2 linked regions of the Xenopus tropicalis genome follow. The protein of the gene in region 2 purifies or fractionates together with the protein of the main gene of each other region. This does not show direct contact. Links are inferred from orthologs where the notes say so. Each region holds a gene or a part of one and is shown on either strand. Other genes may lie near its edges.

The links. The genes of interacting proteins can lie anywhere in the genome.
Region 1: the proteins of fibronectin type-III domain-containing protein 3A (region 2) and tent5c purify together in Homo sapiens (affinity purification with western blotting; 3 studies listed by BioGRID, with this or other methods). This does not show direct contact. The link is inferred for Xenopus tropicalis from reciprocal best matches to the Homo sapiens genes FNDC3A and TENT5C.

Annotation. Positions count from the first base shown.
Region 1 is NC_030678.2:2,821,813-2,825,937, forward strand, and holds the start of tent5c (terminal nucleotidyltransferase 5C), read left to right. Parts: upstream 1-1,321; 5' UTR 1,322-1,404; intron 1,405-1,516; exon of another isoform or gene 1,517-1,623; intron 1,624-4,125. UniProt on the Homo sapiens protein: Catalyzes the transfer of one adenosine molecule from an ATP to an mRNA poly(A) tail bearing a 3'-OH terminal group and enhances mRNA stability and gene expression.
Region 2 is NC_030678.2:149,087,031-149,090,543, reverse strand, and holds part of fibronectin type-III domain-containing protein 3A, read right to left. Parts: intron 2,665-3,513; coding exon 2,526-2,664; intron 2,311-2,525; coding exon 2,242-2,310; intron 1,377-2,241; coding exon 1,258-1,376; intron 606-1,257; coding exon 500-605; intron 379-499; coding exon 203-378; intron 1-202. UniProt on the Homo sapiens protein: Mediates spermatid-Sertoli adhesion during spermatogenesis.

The DNA.
Region 1 (4,125 bases), about 150 Mb from region 2:
CCATATAAAGGCACAAGGCTGCAGGCTGAGTTATACAGGGAACTCTGAGTATCACTCATGTATTATAAGGGATAATGTACCCCCTACTGTAAATGATAAGGATATTAGCAGTCACTGAGGGGTTCTGTGCCCATATAAAGGCACAAGGCTGCAGGCTGAGTTATACAGGGAACTCTGAGTATCACTCATGTATTATAAGGGATAATGTACCCCCTACTGTAAATGATAAGGATATTAGCAGTCACTGAGGGGTTCTGTGCCCCCCATATAAAGGCACAAGGCTGCAGGCTGAGTTATACAGGGAACTCTGAGTATCACTCATGTATTATAAGGGATAATGTACCCCCTACTGTAAATGATAAGGATATTAGCAGTCACTGAGGGGTTCTGTGCCCCCCATATAAAGGCACAAGGCTGCAGGCTGAGTTATACAGGGAACTCTGAGTATCACTCATGTATTATAAGGGATACTGTACCCCCTACTGTAAATGATAAGGATATTAGCAGTCACTGAGGGGTTCTGTGCCCCCCATATAAAGGCACAAGGCTGCAGGCTGAGTTATACAGGGAACTCTGAGTATCACTCATGTATTATAAGGGATAATGTACCCCCTACTGTAAATGATAAGGATATTAGCAGTCACTGAGGGGTTCTGTGCCCCCCCATATAAAGGCACAAGGCTGCAGGCTGAGTTATACAGGGAACTCTGAGTATCACTCATGTATTATAAGGGATAATGTACCCCCTACTGTAAATGATAAGGATATTAGCAGTCACTGAGGGGTTCTGTGCCCCCCATATAAAGGCACAAGGCTGCAGGCTGAGTTATACAGGGAACTCCACCTGTAGGAGATATTGGGAGAAGATCCACCCGCTTGGCGACCTCTCCCCCCAGTCTGACCCTGATGGCACCAGGTTGGATTTCCTCCAGGTAAAATCTGATTGGCTGTTTGTAGCTCCGCCCACTTTTGGGCATCCAACAATCACCCTATTTACATTCAGGCTGACCCCATGACTATGTGATTCCAGTTTGGGGGGGGGGGGGTAACCCCAAAGCTGTAGGATTGGCGGCAGTTTGAAAACCTTCCCTGTCAGAGTGAATGGGAAAACGGAGGACCTATAGTGTGACAGATACACGGGCCCTTGCAATACAATGCAATCCGATACGATGCGATTCAATCCGATATGAGGAAGTGGCCGCTCTTGGCCTTGAAACGCAAGATCCCTGCAATTATTTATCCGTCTCCTAGCAACCATTCATGCCTGGAGCCAATCAGAAGTAGAAAAGGCGGAGGGATACGGTACAATGTTTCGATAGCACAGCACATATCCGAGTGAGAGAAATTGCCTGTAGAATTTACCCTGCGTCAGGCAGGCAATGCCCCGCACAGGTCTGTTATTGGGTAAGTACCCCCCCCGGGCTGTCAGTCACACAGCGGCAGCGGGGCAACGGGAGAGCAATGGGGTGAGAAGGGCGGAAGGATCTGCAGTCGCTGAGATAGTTCGCCACTATATAAAGCGGAAGCAGGGCCGGCTGTCAGTCAGTCAGCGGAGAGAGAAGCTGCAGTTGAAGACTTTTGGCTGCCAGTCTGTACACCGCTTGCTCTGACCCGCTACCCCAGGTAGGTGCCGCAGGCTCGGGGGAATCTTTCACTTCTTGTGGGACCGAAGTCCTTGGTGTCTCCGGCCGGGAGCTGTCTGGGAGGGTTACGGGTAGGTATGAGGCCAGTGTAGCCGGGTAACGGGGGTGTTAGTGGGAAAGGGGTCCGGCTGGGGACCGTTATACTGAGCATGCTGGGAGCTGTAGTTTGGCGGCACTTCTACTCACAGGCACAATGGTTTGTTATACGGGCCGTGGGACAGGGCATCATGGGAGTTGTAGTTAAACAGCTGTAGGGGAGTCCAGCAGCCAATGTAGGGCTTTGGGGGGAGAATTCTGGGAGTTGTAGTCCAGCAGCCAATGTAGGGCTTTGGGGGGAGAATGCTGGGAGTTGTAGTCCAGCAGCCAATGTAGGGCTTTGGGGGGAGAATGCTGGGAGTTGTAGTCCAGCAGCCAATGTAGGGCTTTGGGGGGGGAGAATTCTGGGAGTTGTAGTCCAGCAGCCAATGTAGGGCTTTGGGGGGGAGAATTCTGGGAGTTGTAGTCCAGCAGCCAATGTAGGGCTTTGGGGGGAGAATTCTGGGAGTTGTAGTCCAGCAGCCAATGTAGGGCTTTGGGGGGGAGAATTCTGGGAGTTGTAGTCCAGCAGCCAATGTAGGGCTTTGGGGGGAGAATTCTGGGAGTTGTAGTCCAGCAGCCAATGTAGGGCTTTGGGGGGAGAATTCTGGGAGTTGTAGTCCAGCAGCCAATGTAGGGCTTTGGGGGGGAGAATTCTGGGAGTTGTAGTCCAGCAGCTGCTTTAGGGCCAAAGTTTTAAGTGCAGGGAATTCTGGGAACTAAAGTAGAACAGCTGTTCTGGGGCCACTGGGTTCCTGGGGGGCTGTTATAGCCCAGTGTACTGGGGGGGGGGGGGGGGGGCTGTTATAGCCCAGTGTACTGGGGGGGGGGGGGGGGGGCTGTTATAGCCCAGTGTACTGGGGGGGGGGGGGGGGGGCTGTTATAGCCCAGTGTACTGGGGGGGGGGGGCTGTTATAGCCCAGTGTACTGGGGGGGGGCTGTTATAGCCCAGTTGTACTGGGGGGGGGGGGGGCTGTTATAGCCCAGTGTACTGGGGGGGGGGGGGGGGGCTGTTATAGCCAGTGTACTGGGGGGGGGGGGGCTGTTATAGCCCAGTGTACTGGGGGGGGGGCTGTTATAGCCCAGTGTACTGGGGGCAGATGGGGGGGGGGGGGGTACTGAGGGCTGTGGGGCTGGTATAGGCCAGTGTACTGGGGGCAGATGGGGGGGGGGGGGGGGTACTGAGGGCTGTGGGGCTGGTATAGGCCAGTGTACTGGGGGGCAGATGGGGGGGGGGGGGGGGGGTACTGAGGGCTGTGGGGCTGGTATAGGCCAGTGTACTGGGGGGCAGATGGGGGGGGGGGGGGTACTGAGGGCTGTGGGGCTGGTATAGGCCAGTGTACTGGGGGGCAGATGGGGGGGGGGGGGTTACTGAGGGCTGTGGGGCTGGTATAGCCAGTGTACTGGGGGGCTGTTTGAGAGGGTTGGCTGGCTTTGAGCTGGGTATGGGAGAGTTCTTGTTGGGGGGCACATGGGGAGGGGGGGGTTGGGGTGGAGGGGCAACTGTCGGTATGTAACGGCTGGCACTTAACATGGGGCAGATCCATGTGCTTCTGGGGGGGGGGGTTATCCCAGTCCCATGTGGCCATATTCTGTAAGGGTACAGCTTCATTTTTTGAGGGCCCCTGGGCTGGGGGCTGGCTGAGGGGCCCCTGGGCTGGGGGCTGGCTGGGGGGCCCCTGGGCTGGGGGCTGGCTGGGGGGCCCCTGGGCTGGGGGCTGGCTGGGGGGCCCCTGGGCTGGGGGCTGGCTGAGGGGCCCCTGGGCTGGGGGCTATAACATGCATGAGTAACTGCCTCTCGGGGGGGGCCCCCCCCTGACACGGGCATGCTGCAGTACTGGGAGTTGTGGGAGGGCATTGCTGGGAGTTGTGGGAGGGCGTTGCTGGGAGTTGTGGGAGGGGGTTGCTGGGAGTTGACTCTACAGTCGCCACTTGCCCATGACAGGGATTTAGGTAACTGGTTGCCTGGTCCCAGTGTGGGAGGTGGCACCGATGTGCCCACTCTGTGGGTTACTGCAGGGTAACTAGTGTTGCGGCTAATAATTTTGCATTGTGACTTGCCCCAAAGAGCTTGCACTTCTCCCTGCCCCCCATGGGTCTATAATAGGTTACTGTGTTTGCTGTGTGGGAGGGAGGGGCTTTCTGGGAGTATTTGCTCGCTGGGATCCCTCCTGGCTCCGTGTCACACTGCCCTGTGCTGCCATATGGCAGCTCCCTAGTTACCCTAATGATTGCCCTGCCAGGGGGCACACACGGGTAGTGCAGGTAACTGAGTGTGCAGTTTGGGCACCAAATAGTTTGTGGTCCCTTCAGTTTTCCATGCTGTGCCCGTGTTTCTAGCTGGTGCACGAATTGGCATCCACCGGGCCAATGGTTGTAACTGGCAAGTTGCCCTCTGCTGAGCGGC
Region 2 (3,513 bases):
TGCACCAATTCATCCTGTATTGTAACAAAATGTTTTCTGCACTGCACCACAATAAACTAAAATTATGTGTAAAATCTATGATGCAATATTTATTTTGCTTTGAATAATGGATTTGAGACACTGTACAATCCTTGCCAAAGTTTAGTTTACAGAATCCAGTGTTCTCTGCATAATTAGAAAAATGACAGTAGCAGAACTGTACCCCAGTTTTGTTTGCAGCGCGCACTCGAAAGCTGTACGCCTTCCCTGGAAGAAGACTGGCCACTGTGCATTCCAGTTCAGGTCCTTGGTAGACTTCTCTATGCTCACTGGCATCAGAAGACGACATCTCCAGGCTGTAGCACGTGACTGGGGAACCACCATCAAGCTGCGGTGGTGCTGTTAAAAATAAGAAGGTAAAAGTCAGAAAATGTTGGAAAGCCACAGCTGAAAGCTTTGCTACATCTCTATGTAAGCAAGAAGACACGTGTATAAAAAAAAAAACCTCATTCATTCATACCCCATTTCATTTGCACTTCTCTTGCTCTTGGTCTGCCTTGGAGCCTGGGGGGCTGGCATGGCCCAGGGAACACCGCTGGAGTCTGAACTAACAGTGTATCTGATACCTAAAGAGCCATTAAACACAAAAGTACATTATAGCTGTGATTGCCATTATAGTAATAATAATAATATAGTAAATCACAATTGATCAAAGAAATTTTCCATTGTTAATATACTGAATCAGGTTAAGCTTGCCACAAATGGAAAAAAAAAACATGTTCATTTGGCCAAGCAAGTGGATCTTTCCCCAACATGCCCAGCTTGAAGTCGGACCTCAGATCGAAGAATCAGATCACATTGACAGGATGCAGGCTGTCGGGGTGAGGACTACATCAATAAGCCAATGTTCCTTGTCTCAATGGGAATATTAAACCTGCCTGATCAACATCTGCCTGTTTTTTGGACAGATATGGGCCTCACACAGGGGACAATAAGGTGCCAAGCTTAACTATATTTGTTTGCATCTATAGGACTGTTGTGATCTAGAGGGCAGCCTGAATAAATGTTGTACTACAAGGCAGGGTGGGGTAAATACCTTTACCTTAGGGAAAGCTGCAATGACAATATATTAGGAATTTTTCACTTTAACTTTGCATTATAATTAAAAGTAGTCCTATAGCATATGGTTAAGGCTATGAATAAACACACGTGCTGTTAGCTCCCATGACCATAGTCCCACAAAGTTGGATGCTTAGACTGCAAGGTACGTGACATTACCTGACTCTTCCCTCCATCACTGATGCAATGGACTTGTAAGCGATAAGAAGAGCCTGGACTCAGATGGTCACACAGGTATTCTCGAGCTGTTCCACTGTATACGACATCCCACTTGTTTCCTGCAGGATTAATCATTAATGTCTGATCAGTTTTTGACTGTGTTCTGCACATCTTGGTCTCCTAGTTTCTATATACCAGTCTCCTAGTAATTTGTTTAGAGATGAAATATGGAAAGATTGCTAACGGTTTCCTGCAGTTGATTAAATAAACTCTTAAGTACTGCATCCAAAACCAACTTCCAAGGTCTGTCTCGGTAAAGATCTCAGGCACTTACCATATGTATTTGTAACAAAGAATTTGCTTTTAGAGTGAATAATATGCAGACACTGGCCTGATAAGGAACAACTGAATAGCAATAGCTCGGATGCGCTACAACCAGCTGAGATAAGGGGAAGCGTGAATGAAAAAGAGAGCATAGAAACATATTGTGTAGATGTACTGTTGCAGGGAGATAACCTTTAATAGTATTTCTAAGCACACAATGTACCTTTATATTAAAAAGAATTATTATTTCAGTGTGCCAGATATAGTACATGCTAGGAATAATCCAGTGGTATTCTCTATGGAGGGAACCAATGAATGGCATTTGTGTTTGTGTACATGGTCAGTATGCTTCTGCTACTCTGTTTAACTCATGCTACTACTTTTTCCCATGTGCTCTAATGAGTTAAATTAAACTACTAACATGTATTAAAGAAAACAAACAAGACATATTTAAAATGTGTTTTGCCTATGAAATAACTAAAAAAAAAACCCCAAACAATCTGGAGAGCAAAGAATAAGAAAGGCTAATAACAAAATTAAATGGTCAATTGCAAAACTTTCTTCTTTTGGCAGAAAAAAAAAGAAAATGACATTACAAGTACAATTTCTACATGGATCTCCATGCCTGATAATATGTAAACTGGCGGAAAAGATGAATACCATTGCTGTCTTCAGACATCTCCATAACGTATTTTGTGATTGCTGCTCCTCCATTGTCCTTAGGTGGATCTATAAAAACCAACAAATTCCAGTTTAGAGCTTACTCTTACCATTTGTTGTGTTGTCCCCATTTGCAAGGAAAGTAATAAGAGTGGTCAGAATACTGTTCCCCAAACAAATTAGGCCTCCTCTTATGTAAACTACTAATGACCAGTGAAAAACAGTGCAATATAGACTGTTTCATAAGCTGCCAATGAATCATTAAACATATGGGCTCTACATACCCCATACTATCCTGAAGTTATGTGCATGGACCTTTCCCTTGACAGAAGGCTTTGAGGGTGCTCCTGGTCTGTCTGGACAAGTCACAAACTCCACCACCTCACTTGGGCTGCTCTTGCCTTCAGTGTTATATGCAATGACCTGCAATGACCAACAACATATATTTTCTCATCATTAATTATATAATAGTATTCAGCATTCTACCCTTAAGTCTACTGTTGCCTGGAAAAGATGAAAGGGTTTGCTCTCCTTTATATTTCCCTGTAGTATGATGTATACAATTTCAAACTGGTTTTCATTTTTTTATGGTTTTATAATTATTTAGCTTTTTGTTCAGCAGCTCTCCAGATTGGTAGCACCTATCTGGTTGCTAGGGTTTTCTTTACATTAGCAACTAGGCAGTGGTTAAATCAGAGACTGGAATATGAATATGAGAGGGACTGAACAGAACGAAAAGTAATAAAAAGTAACAATAATAACACAATTGTACACCCACAAACCAATTTTTGTTTGGCAGTTGGGGTCAGTGACCCCCACTTGAAAGCTTGCAAGGTAAAGTATAATTAGAATAATATTTAACTTAAATGAATGCCAATCATGCCAATCTGGGGTGCTGGGTGCCAGGAGAGCTGTTGTTAAGAGGTAAGTTGTCTACTCCTTGGGTAATAAAGGACATGTAATGTGTCTTTTGCACCTCTTTACTAACAAAACGGCATTTTAGATGTAATCGGGGGGGTGGGGGGCAAAGCCAAGTGGTAAAATGCTAAATGGGATAGCAGGCAGCCCACACACAGACAGGAAAATAGCTCACTGTGTCATAATTTATCTTATATAAAGCATTATACCTGCAGTGAGTAATTTACCCTGGAGGGAGAAACTCTAGGGAATAATTACATAAATGCTCTTATAAATATTATATTTATGGAAGCTGTTGTTTTTTTCTTTTCTAAGGCCTGTGTGCTATGACGTATATTCAAGGTGAACTTGCTA